4 linked regions of the Callithrix jacchus genome follow. The protein of the gene in region 3 binds, or shares a complex with, the protein of the main gene of each other region. Links are inferred from orthologs where the notes say so. Each region holds a gene or a part of one and is shown on either strand. Other genes may lie near its edges.

What was found.
Region 1: CACNB2 (region 3) and STAC3 share a complex: the UniProt entries of both Homo sapiens proteins name them as parts of the calcium channel complex. The link is inferred for Callithrix jacchus from reciprocal best matches to the Homo sapiens genes CACNB2 and STAC3.
Region 2: CACNB2 (region 3) and CACNA1C share a complex: the UniProt entries of both Homo sapiens proteins name them as parts of the calcium channel complex. The link is inferred for Callithrix jacchus from reciprocal best matches to the Homo sapiens genes CACNB2 and CACNA1C.
Region 4: CACNB2 (region 3) and CACNG1 share a complex: the UniProt entries of both Homo sapiens proteins name them as parts of the calcium channel complex. The link is inferred for Callithrix jacchus from reciprocal best matches to the Homo sapiens genes CACNB2 and CACNG1.

Annotation. Positions count from the first base shown.
Region 1 is NC_133510.1:62,453,293-62,457,407, forward strand, and holds the start of STAC3 (SH3 and cysteine-rich domain-containing protein 3), read left to right. Parts: upstream 1-1,309; 5' UTR 1,310-1,502; intron 1,503-2,889; 5' UTR 2,890-2,890; coding exon 2,891-2,956; intron 2,957-3,196; coding exon 3,197-3,464; intron 3,465-3,701; coding exon 3,702-3,799; intron 3,800-4,002; coding exon 4,003-4,075; intron 4,076-4,115. UniProt on the Homo sapiens protein: Required for normal excitation-contraction coupling in skeletal muscle and for normal muscle contraction in response to membrane depolarization. Required for normal Ca(2+) release from the sarcplasmic reticulum, which ultimately leads to muscle contraction.
Region 2 is NC_133510.1:15,911,572-15,915,137, forward strand, and holds part of CACNA1C (voltage-dependent L-type calcium channel subunit alpha-1C), read left to right. Parts: intron 1-1,477; coding exon 1,478-1,830; intron 1,831-3,566. UniProt on the Homo sapiens protein: Pore-forming, alpha-1C subunit of the voltage-gated calcium channel that gives rise to L-type calcium currents. Mediates influx of calcium ions into the cytoplasm, and thereby triggers calcium release from the sarcoplasm.
Region 3 is NC_133508.1:19,337,665-19,341,230, forward strand, and holds part of CACNB2 (voltage-dependent L-type calcium channel subunit beta-2), read left to right. Parts: intron 1-2,520; coding exon 2,521-2,654; intron 2,655-2,795; coding exon of another isoform or gene 2,796-2,815; intron 2,816-3,262; coding exon of another isoform or gene 3,263-3,324; intron 3,325-3,566. UniProt on the Homo sapiens protein: Beta subunit of voltage-dependent calcium channels which contributes to the function of the calcium channel by increasing peak calcium current. Plays a role in shifting voltage dependencies of activation and inactivation of the channel.
Region 4 is NC_133506.1:122,252,529-122,255,963, reverse strand, and holds the end of CACNG1 (voltage-dependent calcium channel gamma-1 subunit), read left to right. Parts: intron 1-1,185; coding exon 1,186-1,323; intron 1,324-2,115; coding exon 2,116-2,342; 3' UTR 2,343-2,912; downstream 2,913-3,435. UniProt on the Homo sapiens protein: Regulatory subunit of the voltage-gated calcium channel that gives rise to L-type calcium currents in skeletal muscle. Regulates channel inactivation kinetics.

The sequences.
Region 1 (4,115 bases), on a different chromosome or scaffold from region 3:
ATCTGGAGACAACAGATGCTGGAGAGGATGTGGAGAAATAGGGACACTTTCACACTGTTGGTGGGAGTGTAAATTAGTTCTACCATTTTGGAAGACAGTGTAGTGATTCCTCAAGGACCTGGAAATAGAAATTCCATTTGACCCAGCAATCCCATTACTGGGTATATATCCAAAGGATTATAAATCATTCTACTATAAGGACACATGCACACGAATGTTCATGGCAGCACTGTTTACAATAGCAAAGACTTGGAACCAACCCAAATGCCCATCGATGGTAGACTGGACAGGGAAAATGTGGCACATATACACCATGGAATACTATGCAGCCATAAACGATGAGTTTGTGTCCTTTGTAGGGACATGGGTGAACCTGGAAACCATCTTTCTCAGCAAACTGACACAAGAACAGAAAATCAAACACTGCACGTTCTCACTCATAGGTGGGTGTTGAACAATGAGAACACATGGACACAGGGAGGGGAGCATCAGACACTGGGGTCTGTCGGGGGGAACTAGGGGAGGGACAGTGGAGAGTTGGGAAGGGATAACATGGGGAGAAACATCAGATATATGTGTTGGGGAGGAAGGCAGCAAAGCATATTGCCATGTATGTACCTATGCAACAATCTTGCATGTTTTTCACATGTACCCCAAAACCTGAAATGCAATAAAATATATTTTTTTTAGAAAAAAGCAATCTAGCTGGGCTTGGTGGCTCACACCTGTAATCCCAGCACTTTGGGATGCTGAGGCGGGTGGATCACCTGAGGTCAGGGGTTCAAGACCAGCCTGGCCAACATGGTAAAACCCTGTCTCTACTAAAAATACAAGAATTAGCCAGGCATGGTGGTGGGCACCTGTAATCTCAGGTACTTGGAAGGCTGAGGCAGGAGAATCACTTGAACCCAGGAGGTGAAGTTTGTAGTGAACCTGCCAGATCACTTCACTGCACTCCCCTGGGCGACAAGAGTGAGACTCCATCTTTAAAAAAAAAAAAAAAAGCAATCTAGTGTGGCTGATAGGAGAGCTCTGAGAGTTCACATTAGTCTTTTTTTTTTTTTAACCCTGTCTCAAAAAATAAATGAAATATAAAAATAAACTCCCCTTAAGTGAGCATGAACAGAAACTGTCCCTTCTTGATTTCAGCTGTTATTAACCTGTTGGCCAAAGATAAAGAATCAAGGAACAGCAGCTCTGGGGGATGGGAGGAGTTAGGGTCCAACCCTGCCCCAGACCTCTCAGTGTCCAATTTCTCTGTGTCAGCTGTGTTGCTCAGCTGTCTACTTTCCTCCAGCCCTGTCATTTCAGCCCTGACACCAACGCAAGAGGCTAGGAGGTCTACAAATAGCGTCTGGGTAGCTGGTGTGAACACAGAGGGTACTGGGGGGGCTTAGCCCCCAAGGAAGAGGACTGGTTTTTCCCCAGCACCACCATCAAGGCCTCGGGGTTCCCAACTTCCTCTACATTCTGTGGACTGACTGATTTAGGGAATCCCAAACGTAAGTTACCTCTTCATCCTCTTTCCATTTCCACAGCTGCTCACCCCAGCTGCCCTGGCCAGTAATCTATTTAACTTCTTCATTTCTCTCCTTGTTGTGAATCATCTGGGTTTTAGGAGTCAAATTATTATTCTACTCTAGGATGAGTTAGGATTGGAGGGTGGGGTAAGGGTGGGGGTGGGGTGAAGGGAATGGAGTAGTAAGGGAAGGAAAGGCTCATATTACCCTGAAAACTTAAAATAGCTGAGCCCTGAAGCAGGCTGGGACAGCACTAGGCACAGTGCCCCCAGGGCTCAAGAAAGAAGTAGGGGAGGACAAATCTCCAGTCCATCCTTCCTTGTGCACACACAAGGACACCCATTAAACCTCTTGAAGAGAGGAGATCTGGGAAGGTATGCATCACATACCTGTTGCCCACAGGTTCCCAGGAGAAACAAAGTACCTATAAGAAAATAACGTAAATCATTCAGCAGTGAACACTGTGTAAGGGCTGTAAACTCTGGGGTCACCCCTCAGGATGGAAGGATAAGTATCAGTTTGAGGAACTAACTGGGGACTTCCGTTTGTTGGGCTTTTTTGTTTTTCTTTTTTTTTTTTTTTTTTTTTGAGACAGAGTCTTGCTCTAGAACCACGCTGGAGTGCAGTGGCGCAATCCTGGCTCACTGCAACCTTCGCCTCCCAGGTTCAAGCAATTCTCCTTCCTCAACCTCTCAAGTAGCTGGGATTACAGGTGTCTGCCACCATACTCGGCTCATTTTTTAATATTTAGTAGAGATGGGGTTTCACCATGTTGGCCAGGCTGGTCTCAAACTCCTGACCCCTAGTGATCCACCCATCTCAGCCTCCCAAAGTGCTGGGATTACAGGTGTGAGCCACCACGCCCAGCCATGTTGGGCTTTTTTCTAGACCTCCATGAAATCTATCTGTTAATAAACACTGCCAAAGGATTTGTATTTGGCCTGGAGCAGTGCCTCATGCCTGGAATCTCAACCCTTTGGGAGGCTGAAATGGAAGAACTGCTTGAGCTAGTTCAGGACCAGCCTAGGCAACAAAGCAAGGCCCTGCTTCTACAAAAAATAAAAAAGTAGCCAGGTAGTATACACTTTGTAGTCCCAGCTACTCAGGAAGCTGAGGTAGGGGGATCGCTTCAGCCTGGGAGATCAAGACTGCAGTGAGCCGTGATCACACCACTGCACTCCAACCTGGGTGACAGAGTGAGACCTCATTGCAAAAAAAAAAAAAAAAAAAATATATATATATATATATATATGAAACCACATTTCTCCAAAAGCCTCCCCTTTGAGGACCACCCTACTGCAAGGGACAGAAATAAGAGAGAGAAGAATGAAAGGGATTAGATTTCATAGTGGGGTCCAACCTCTTGCAGGATGACAGAAAAGGAGGTGCTGGAGTCCCCTAAACCCTCCTTCCCCGCAGAGACTCGGCAAAGTGGGGTGAGTCTGGGCCTCTGACCACTGGGTGTGGGGAGCGGGAAGCCATTATAGCTGAAGAGTGCTTAAATTGATCACATTTGTGTATGACTCATTTTTTGCTGGCCACCTGCAGCCCCCCTAATCCTAGGGTACATTCCTTACCCCTAACTAGAAAACTGTCTAGTTTGCTCTAGTGCCCCTGTACTCTAGAGAGGGTGACAAGTCCTTTTAACACTGGGTTTCCTTCACTCCCTCCCTCAGCTACAGCGGCTGAAGCAATTACTCAGGAAGGGGTCTACAGGGACAAAAGACATGGAACTTCCCCCAGAGCCCCAGGCCAATGGGGAGGCAGTGGGAGCTGGGGGTGGGCCCATCTACTACATCTATGAGGAAGAGGAGGAGGAAGAAGAGGAGGAGGAGGAGCCACCCCCAGAACCTCCTAAGCTTGTCAACGATAAGCCCCACAAATTCAAAGATCACTTCTTCAAGAAGCCAAAGTTCTGTGATGTCTGTGCCCGGATGATTGTTCGTGAGTCATGAAGGGAAGTGAAGAGAGTATGATGTTGAAGGCAGGGGTTGGGGGAGAGGGTATAGGAGAGGAGTATTTGTAGCAGACGGGCTGCGGCTAGAGTTGCTGTAAGGCAGTGCTATTAGAGATTGTGAGAGTAGGGTCCTAGACAGAAAAGGGAACCTAAGTGTAGCAGCAGTGGTACAAAGGGAAAGGGCAACCTGGAACCTTATCTGAATTTTCTCCCCCTCTCCCAAGTCAATAACAAGTTTGGGCTTCGCTGTAAGAACTGCAAAACCAACATCCATGAACACTGTCAGTCCTATGTGGAAATGCAGAGATGCTTTGGCAAGATCGTGAGTAGGCTCCGGGGAACAAGGTGTAGAAAGGTGGGGCCGTATCACCAGCTACCCCTTGCTGGTCCCTCCTCCATCCCATTCATTTCTCTTTTTCTTTCTTAGCCCATCTCTTTTTCTGAGAAAGGATGACCACTTATGAGAGAGATGGGCTTCTAGCCTACCTTGCTACCTCTAATGATTCCTCCTATTCCACCCTACAGCCACCTGGTTTCCGTCGGGCCTATAGTTCCCCACTCTACAGCAATCAGCAGTATGCTTGTGTCAAAGATCTCTGTAAGTGCCCTTTATGGAACATGAGGGAATGGGCAAGCCT
Region 2 (3,566 bases), on a different chromosome or scaffold from region 3:
GGGGAAAGAGCCGCACCAGAGGACAGGGCCACTTCCAGGCTCTTCCTGATCAGCTGTGTCCTCACCCCTTTGCCTTTTCCAAGCCTGACTCCGTCCCAAGGCAGGGCTCCCTGGAAACGGCATTTCACAGTGTCTCCCCAAGGGAAATGTTTCCTAGGAGAAGAGAAACTTCTATATCAGAAGTTATAAAGTGGTCACCCTGGGCATATCTAATCTGCAGGCTTGTTTGGTTTGCTACTATTTGAAAATCTGGCACATTCAGGTCAAAATCAAGACTCCTGGCATTCCTTGGAAAAGTCAGGAGACCTGCAATTTTGAGCTTGCATTCCGGCAGGGCAGCAGAGGGCTGGAGCCTAGTGGCAGCTGCCCCTTGAGATGGAGCATAGCATGTGTTCTGCAGATCTCCAAGCCCCTCCAGTCCTCCCCCTTCCCTCTCCCTTCCTGGAGACTGAAGCTGCCCAGCAGTTGCAATAGTGAAAATTAAACACAGCTGTACCGGAATAAGGGGCATTTATACCTCACATGTGTTACCTGCCTCACCCCGCTGGTATTTGGTTAAAACTCCTCCTATAGCAAGGGAGAAGTTGCCAGTCATAATCGTGCAGGGCCCTGTTCACACCTGCTCCCAGCCCAGGGCCCAGTTCCCAGGCTGTGGAACACACAGGAGGCAAGCCGAGCCCATCCTGCCCCTGCTCCTTCTCTTCCTTATCCTTATCCTCATCACCTGAGACATTCGTCACTAAGTAGCCTCAGGGACATGGCATGATTGTGACTCCACCTGACATGATCCCAGAAATCAAAGGCTCAGTCACCAAGGCCCAGGGATGTTCTGGTGTCAAAGTTTGCAACCTTGCAAATAGCTCCTTGCCCACTTCCCCAGGACAAGGAGAAGATACTCAGGGAAAACACTGGCTCTTGGCTTGAACTATCTGTGAATCCCTGAGGGGAAAAAGAGCATCATGCAGGAAATTCCTCATTTTCAAAACCGTTTGGCCGACACAGCTTTTAGCTCCGTGAGCACATCAGATTTATTGATTTTTAATCTGGTTAGAATCTTCTGGTCGTTTTCCCAGCCCCCACCCTCACGGTGTGCTGGCTGCTCTCAGGGACCGCTGTCCTAGATGTGCCCTGGAAACTCGCTCCCAGCCTTCAGGGACTTCACTGGAAACCTCCAGGGCAGCTTATACCAGCGGGAGCCTCTTGCACAGTCCCATCCCTACCAGTGTGTGGGTTCTCCCAGCTACCGCAGAGGGGAGCCCGGAGCCTTGAGACTGTGGGTCCCTCCCACTCTGGAGCAGCCAGGTATGAAGAAGGACCTCAGGTGCTCCTGGCTCCCAGCAGGGCTGTGCCTCCCCAAAGGAAGGCAGCCCGCCTTCCCGGGCCCTGCATTCCACTGGCCAGACTGTGGAAGCTGCTCTCTGGGAGGGGTGGACACTGAGGGGCTTCTCCTCCACCCACCTGTCCTTCTTGCCTACAGAGGGCCGGTGGCCTCTTCGGCAACCACGTCAGCTACTACCAAAGTGACGGCCGGAGCGCCTTCCCCCAGACCTTCACCACTCAGCGCCCGCTGCACATCAACAAGGCAGGCAGCAGCCAGGGTGACACAGAGTCGCCTTCCCACGAGAAGCTGGTGGATTCCACCTTCACTCCCAGCAGCTACTCGTCCACCGGCTCCAATGCCAACATCAACAATGCCAACAACACCGCCCTGGGCCGCCTCCCCCGCCCCACTGGCCACCCCAGCACGGTCAGCACTGTGGAGGGCCATGGGCCCCCCTTGTCCCCTGCCATCCGGGTGCAGGAGGTGGCCTGGAAGCTCAGCTCCCAGAGGTAAGCGGGAGGCTGGCCACCCTGCTGTATTTTCTCCTTGTCCTCTGATCCCCTGTGCTCTAGGATGCACTGCTCTGACATGCTGGGATGGTGGGACTTCCCTCCCACCCTGGGCCCCTGCAGAGCTCCTCCCTGTCAGCATCAGCAGCTCCAGCGTTCCCTGGTGGGGCTGAGAGAGGTGCCTAGTCCCGCTTAACTGTGCTGCTTTTCCAGAGTAGGACAGTGGCTCCCAGCCGGCGGCACAGCGCCCCAGCATGTCAGCCTCCTGACATGCCTGCCCTCCAGCTCAGAAAATAGTAAGAGAAGTGGAAGCTTCTCACCAAACCCCTGGAAAAGTGTCCATCCAAGAAGCAGGTACCTGCCGTGGGCCTGCCCATCCCCCCAGAGGGCCCATTTTCAAGTGGCTGCATGCAAGCCCCTAGGGCCAGGCATTTAATTGTGTCAGATGACAGGCAAGTTAGAAAGACCATCCCCCTGTCTGCTTTCCTTTCTGCAAGGTGGCTGGTTTAGCCACCCAGAGGCAGCACTGGGGCATCCCTCAGCTCACGAGGCCTGCACTGCTGCCTTCTGTGCTCAGGGCAGCTTGCTCAGCCCTGGATTTGATGTGCTGGCCTCAAGGGCTGGCTTTACATAGGAGAGGATCTAATCTAGGCATCTAGTCTTGGGGGCCTGCATTTGTTGTGGGGGCCTCACCCTTCTCTGCAACCTCACTCCCCTTCCCCCCACAGCCTTTGAGGACTCAGGTACTGGATCCCCACACCCCTTCTCCCCTGCTGGCCTCACCAAAGCCTCTGCTGAAGGAGGGCTCCATGTCCATCTTCAGCATCTCAGGGTGAATTCAATCCCTACCCTCTAAGGGCATTTTCCTGTGAGGCTTTGTTCTCTGTGACAAAAGGGGGAAGAGATGTTTAGAGGAGCTGGGGAGGAGACCCTGGGGAATTTCCTTGTCCCCACAGATACATCTCTCCATGAAGCAAAACACGCAAAGCACCCAGCACACAGTCAGTGCTCATGAAATGTTGGTTCCCTCTGCCCACTGCAGACAGTACAAACAACAGGGCACCAAGCTTCAGCTTGGTGAAGAAGAGGAGCATAACCCACATCCCAGCTCCCTTGTCCTCTCTGTCACAGCTCAAAGCTAAGGGCAGCTCAGGCCCTGGCGTTGCCTGTGCTAAGAATGGGCCAGCACGTCCTGTGCCCGGTGGCTCCCAGAAGTGCTGTTTCCTGCCTGCTCCGCTCTGCACCTCCAACTCCTCCCCCCACACCCTCGCCAAAGCTCGCTCCACTTCCCTCCCCTCCCAATCCTCCTGGAGCTCCCACCTGTAACCTTTCTTTCCCACTGCAGTGGGAGTGGCAATCTGCAGGCCTCCTTAAGAGAGAGAACTGCTCCTACCCTGCCAGTGATGCTCAGAGCCAGGGCACTGATCTAGCCCTCAGCTCTGAGAGGATGGACCAGGATCTTTCCCTGATGCTCTCGGGGATCCGAGGATAAAGTGGGCCCAGCATGCAAGGTCTACAGAAAGCAAGACAGAGGGAGGCACTGAGCTGAGCTAGACAGGAAAAGGAAGAGGCCTTGGTCCAGAGCTAAAGAAGGCATGGCCTGTGAGCATAAGACCCTGTCCCAGGAGGGAAAGGCACGTCCTAGTGTGTGAGGATCTGGAGCTCAGGAGGGATTCTGGCTCAGGAGGGACTCAGGCTCACTGCCTTCTGTTCAGGAGAGCAAACCCCTCCAGGTG
Region 3 (3,566 bases):
ATCTCGGCTCACCACAACCTCCGCCTCCTGGGTTCAGGCGATTCTCCTGCCTCAGCCTCTTGAGTAGCTGGGATTACAGGCACGCACCACCATGCCCAGCTAATTCTTTGTATTTTTAGTAGAGATGGGGTTTCACCATGTTGACCAGGATGGTCTCGATCTCTTGACCTCGTGATCCACCCGCCTCGGCCTCCCAAAGTGCTGGGATTAGAGGTGTGAGCCACTGCGCCCTGCCTGAGATTTTTAATCTTAAAAATAAGACCGTTGAAGTTATCTTTAAAATACTTCCAACTCTGATTCTGCAGTTGATAAAATTCTGTAGCTCTTTCAATTGTACCTGGGAGCATTTTGTAAAATTTGAAGTGAGATTATGCATCTTTTTTTCTCGTAACACTTTTTAAGTCCTCTATTTTCAGGTGGAACAATGGGAAAAGTAAAAGCACTCCAAGCGACAAAGCTAAACCCTTCATTTTACAGATAAGGAAGCCAGTGCATATCCTCTGGGGTCCTCGTGCCCTTCCATTCTGCCACTTCTGTTAAAGCCAGTGGCTTTGCATAAGTCACCAGAAGTCTTTCAGTGTCATTTTATTAGACTGATTTCATTCGGATATCTTGGGACCCAGTATTTTCCCATTAGTCTTCATGAGACCTAAATCCTTTTAATCCTGTCCTTCCTGGAGCCCACCCTGAATCATTTGCCTTGTGTATGACTGGGTTTTCCATTCTCTCTTTCTCTCAAATGTTTGTTGCAATTTTAGTGAAACTTTTCATACTGCCCTGATTTTTACATAAAAGCAGCAAAAGGAGGCACATTGTATTATTGCTACAAATGTAATTGCGGTTTTGGACCATGGATTTCAAATCATAACTAGGCTGAAATACATCTTTATAAATCAAAATAGGAACCATTACAAAGAACACATTTTTGCCAATGAGAAATAAGTTTGTTTATTCCTATAGCATAAAAATCCGTGCTTTGGGATGCGACAAACTCTTGGAAAGCATTTTCTGCATCCTGCTGATTATGGAAGCGTTTTCCTTGCAAAAAGTTGTTGAGGTGCTTGAAGAAGGGGTAGTCAGTTGGAGAGGTCGGGTGAATATGGCAGATGAGGCAAAACTTCATAGTCCAATTCATTTGACTTCTGAAGCGCCGGTTGCATGATGTGCGGTCAGGCGTTGTTGTGGAGAAGAACCAGGCCGCTTCTGTTGATCAACGCCGGCTGCAGGCACTGGAGTTTTCGGTGCATCTCATCGATCTGCTGAGCATAGTTCTCAGATGGCATATTTTCGCTGAGATTCAGAGAACTGCAGTGGATCAGACCAGCAGCAGACCACCCAACAGTGACCGTGACCTTTTTTGGTGGAAACTTGGCTTTGGGAGGTGCTTTGGAGCTCCTCAGTCCATCAGCTGAGCTGGTTGTCACTGATTGTCATATAAAATACACTTTTTGTTGCACGTGACAATCTGATGGATAAATGGTTCATTGTTGTTACATAGAACAAGAGAAGACGATGCTTCCCAACAACGATTTTGTTTTATTGTCACTCTGCTCATGAGGCGCCCACTTATTGAGCTTTTTCACCTTTCCAATTTGCTTCAAATGCCGAACCACCGTAGAATAGTCCACGTTGAGTTCTTCAGCAACTTCTCATGTAGTTGTAAGAGAATCAGCTTCAGTGATGGCTCTCCAGTGGCCGTTGTCAACTTCCAGTGGCCAGCCACTATGCTCCACGTCTTCATGGCTCTTGTCTCCTTTGCAAAGCTTCTTGAACCACCACCACACTGCTCGTTCATTAGCAGTTCCTGGGCCACATGCGCTGCTGATGTTGCAAGTCGTCTCCAGTGCTTTACAACCCATTTTGAACTCGAATAAGAGAATCAATCAAATTTGCTTGTGGTCTAACATCATTTCCATAGTCTAAAATAAACATAAACAGCAAGTAATGTCGTTAGCAAAAAAGCATAAAGTGAGAAATGCCCACTAAAATGATATATAACGTAACCACGTTTATTTAAGAATGTATTCCAATAGCAAACAGCTAATTCCAACAATGCAAAAACCGCAATTACTTTTGCACTCACCTATAATAAAAGTTTTCAAAAAGTAGTTGCTTGTTATCTCAAAGCTGGTTTAAGATACTATAAGATATGTAGTCAAATGTTCTATGCTGCACTTTTATACAGTTGATAAGGAGAATATCAACTTTACATGTGAAACTACAGATATAAAATGTTTCTCTGAAAATATTCAATAGTTCTAGCATGAAATGGATTAATTCAAGCAGATTATAAGGGTGTCTTTCAGTTTTGTTAGATTTGGTTACATTGCATTCTTAACATGCTTTACCTTTAAATTTTATTTTCTTTGCCTACTGTTTTAAGCATTCATGATAGTTTTATTTATTTATTTATTTATTTTTACTATGGTTGGTTTTATTTGCTTTCGTTTTATTTTCTTTATAACCTATTTTTCCTCTCCTGTCCTCCTGATGATTTTTGAATTGTTTGTCTGTATATAGCTATAGACATAGATGCTACTGGCTTAGATGCAGAAGAAAATGATATTCCAGCAAACCACCGCTCCCCTAAACCCAGTGCAAACAGTGTAACGTCACCCCACTCCAAAGAGAAAAGAATGCCCTTCTTTAAGAAGGTAACATTAACTTCCGAGCTCCCGTTGTCCACCTGCTGAAGTGCACTGTGTCACATTGCTAGTCCTGTTGACTGTCTGCGTCCTTTGACAAGCCAATAACGTGCATGCTCTGTTATTTGTTTCCTTTCCATGCTGCTGTAGCTAAGCAGAAGCAGAAATCGGTAAGTTTACATTGACATAAGCTGCGTTTATCCTGCCACTGGCATCATTAGCATTAATTCCCACAGTTGTATGAAATACAATCATTTCTGTCCCAAGCAAAGAACCTATCAACAGCTAATTGAGCTTATGCATTTCAAAGCAACTAAATTCAGGGAGTGACCTGTTAAAACACCATTACAGTACTTATCCTTTTTGATGGAATAATATCTACCACCAAGGGAATTTGTTTCAACATTCAAGGATGTCAAACACCGACAGCTCCATATAATGCACCTTAACTGTGCATGCTTATTCTGTCTGTCTGTCTGTCTTCCAGAAATTTAACTTATGATCAAGCATATTAAAGCAGTTATTAGATTCTGATTAATGATATCCAGATACATAGCTTGTACTAAAAAGAAATTCAAGTTTTAATTTAGTCAGTATTTAAACTTCTAATCCACTAGGTGCAAAATCTGCAGATGAACAAGACCAGTGGAAAACTGCAGGCTTGTTTTGGCGGTTTACTGTGAGTTTTTCCTATTGTCATATATAAATATTCTCCCAATGTTCTTGCCTTCTCCATCAGTCAGACTTTAGCATCTCACCCATTGGACACTGCAGCCAGTGGTCATGTGTAGAGCCTTTGCCATTGGCCACCCAAAATGCTACACGGTGAGGCTCCTTGTCCCCTAAATGGAAACTGTAGGGTATTCTCAAGCTCTCGTTACTTCAGACAAAGCCTGTTTTCTCTTACCCATTTTGTAGCTG
Region 4 (3,435 bases), on a different chromosome or scaffold from region 3:
GGAGGCCATGGTGGGCTCTGGGAGCTTTTCAAAATCAACAGAGCTCAGGCGCACACCCACTGTCGGGAGTACAGACCAGAGCCTGCCCGCACCCAGATAGCTGCACACAGTGTGCGTGGGCAGACACACATTCACACACACTGATACACACACACACAGATACACACATACAATGACATACACACTGACACACATGTACACACACAATGACACACAAGCATTGAGTGACACACAGAAACACAATGACATACACACAAGACAGAATGACACACATACAAGACACACACAGACACACAGTGACACACAATGATACACACATAAGACACACACATACAATGATACACACATAAGACACAGACACACTGACACACACGATTACACACACAAGACACAGATACAGAGACACATATAATGACACACAATTACATATGACATGCAGTGATACACAGGCAATAACACACACAAAATGACACACACAATGACACAAGACACAATGACACACAGGTAATGACACACGGACACACTACCATGCACAGAAACATGTAACACGAGCACATGCAGACACACATGACACACCGGGTGACACACACCATCGTACTGACACAGACCCAGATACTAGCATACACAGAGACATATAACACACACATACACCAACACAGGCACACACTAACATACACAGATACACATTCTGACAGATCTCACACATGTGGCACATACACTAATATACAGACACACTAACCACACACAGACACACACACTGCCACACAGACACATGCACACATTCACACACTGCCACGCACACTGGCAGAGCCTCACGTGCACCAGGCTGGATGACAAGCCACTCTGTCATCCTTTGCTCCTTAACCCCAAGACAGACCCCCCACTGTCCCATTGCCTCCTCCCTGTTGATCGGAGGACAATTTCTGCTCTAGAAAGGTCTCCGGCCACCTGCCTCTCGCCCCTGCCCCGTTGCGGACCTTGCAGCCTGGTGCTCTGGAAAGACAGGGGTGAAAGAAGCCCTGGGGCAGCCTGGCTCTGCGTGGGCCTTAGGGCAGGACTCGGTCCCCCGGGCTGTCAGCTTTCCCACGTGTGAAATGGGAACTGTGGTGCAGGCGTTGTCCCTAACCAGCCACGACGAGAGCTCCCAGGCTGAGGCCGCATGCTGCATGTCCCTTGTGTTCGCAGAGTACAGCATCTCGGCGGCCGCCATCGCCATCTTCAGCCTTGGCTTCATCATCCTAGGCAGCCTCTGTGTCCTCCTGTCCCTCCAGAATAAGAGGGACTACCTGCTGCGGCCTGCGTCCATGTTCTACGCCTTTGCAGGTAGACTGGGGACCCTGCCCAAACGCAGGGCTGGAGGACCATGTCATGGGGGACTCTCTGCTCCACTCTCATGCCTACCGCGGGATTTGGGTAGGGGGCATTCCGCAGGCTCCATCCCCAACCAGGGGCAAACCTGCCAGGCCCTCAGTGACTCCAGGTGGGTTAGAGGGAGAGAGAGCTGGGCGGTTTGTCCATTCCTCCCCACAGCCCTCAAGGCCCCAAAGAAACCCCCCAGAGAATGATGGACAAAAGAAGGAAAGAAATGTGGTTGCCTTTCTTACTTTTTCTTGAGGGATGAGGAAGAAAGTCTCACTCTGTTCTCCAGGCTGGAGTGCAGTGGCGCAATCACAGCTCACTGCAGCCTCAAACTCCTGGGTTCAAGGGTTCCTCCCACCCCAGCCTCCCAAGTAGCTGGGACTACAGATGTGCAGCACCACTCTTGGCTAATTTTTTATTTTAATTTTTTATAGAGACAGAGGTCTCATCACTATGTTGCCCAGGCTGGTCTCAAGCTCCTGGCCTCAAGCGATCCTCCCGTCTCAGCCTCCCAAAGTGCTGGGATTACAGGCATGAGCCGCCACACCTGGCCATGTGGTCACCCTTCTGAGGGATGCAGGATTGGGTGGTGGGTGGACAAATGGATCCTTCTGCAGGTTCCCAGCTAGAAACTGCCTTGAGGTGGCTTTTCCCCTGAGGCAAGATCACTGCCTCCTCCAAGTACACAGGCTAGGGTGGGGCTGGGGGCAAGGCAGGGGCCCTTTGGTCCCTGAGCGTCTCTGGTTCTGCCCCCAGGTCTCTGCATCCTCGTCTCAGTGGAGGTCATGAGGCAGTCAGTGAAGCGCATGATTGACAGTGAGGACACCGTCTGGATTGAGTACTATTACTCCTGGTCCTTCGCCTGCTCCTGTGCCGCCTTTGTCCTCCTCTTCCTTGGCGGTGTCGCCCTCCTGCTATTCTCCCTGCCTCGAATGCCCCGGAACCCCTGGGAGTCCTGCATGGATGCTGAGCCTGAGCACTAGACTTCCTGCAGCCCCGGTGACCCTCAGGCTTCTTCCCCAGGAAGCTGGGTCTCAGCCTGGAACCTTCCAGAGAGGAGGCCGGAATAATTTTAGCTCCACCCTGCTCCCATTTGCACCCCCACCCCCAACCCGTGACAGTCACGGGCTGCTTCCTCTCTCTGAGCTCCCCTGGGCTGCCGCAGGCGCCCCTGGGAATAGAGCAAAAGGACCTGAGTCCCAACCTGACCACAGTCGGGGAAGGCAGGACCAGCAGGTGGACAGGTGTTTGCAGGGACCCAGTGTCCCCTGGAGCTTAGAGGTGTCCCCACTGTACCAGCCTCTGATTATTTGCCTCCAGTTGTCCTTTATGAACGTCGCAGGGACAACCTGTGTTTGCCAGTTCTGGGTGCTCCATGTAAATAGCCAGCCTTTCTACTCACGATAAAATGAGGACCAGCCTCTCCTACTCAGTGATAAAACACATCCTCTCTGATGAGCCGAACGTCCCCTCCTTGGCTTCCAGGAGCCCTGGGAAGCATTTTTAACTGGGTAGAATCTGACTGTGGCTAGAAATAAAAAGCTCTCAGAAAACTCATGTTTTCCTTGCGCCTCGCATTGAAATCACTTGGATTCTCAGCCACATCCCAGGGGCCCCCTGACCCCAAATGAGAAGGGAAAGCAGGTCACCTGGGTATGCTGAGGACTTTTGTGGGGACAAGAGGGCCACACACGTGGCTTAGAGGCTCTGAATTCCAACTCATATCTCCAGGCCCTGGGGTTGTTTTCGGGAGAAACTAGAAACCCTCTGATGAAGCAAGGGTGTTAAAAATAGGAGGGGTTATTTCTAGAGCCTGCCATGGACGCACCTGGTGCCGACGCAGCGCTGAAGCAGCCAGCCCGTGTCTGATTTCTGATGCCAGGTTTTTGTTGTGAAGAACATCAGGAATCAGGGCTTAGCAGTTAGACACTAAGGGCCACATGGAGAGCCATGATTTGCACTCTTCTGCCTTCCAAAACCCCACAATACTTGTCCAGCTTTCCAAAGTGGAGTTCAGATGTGAGCGGCAGCTGGGATCCTTGCCTTGAACACTGGAGATCTTGCTGGAGTTCATAC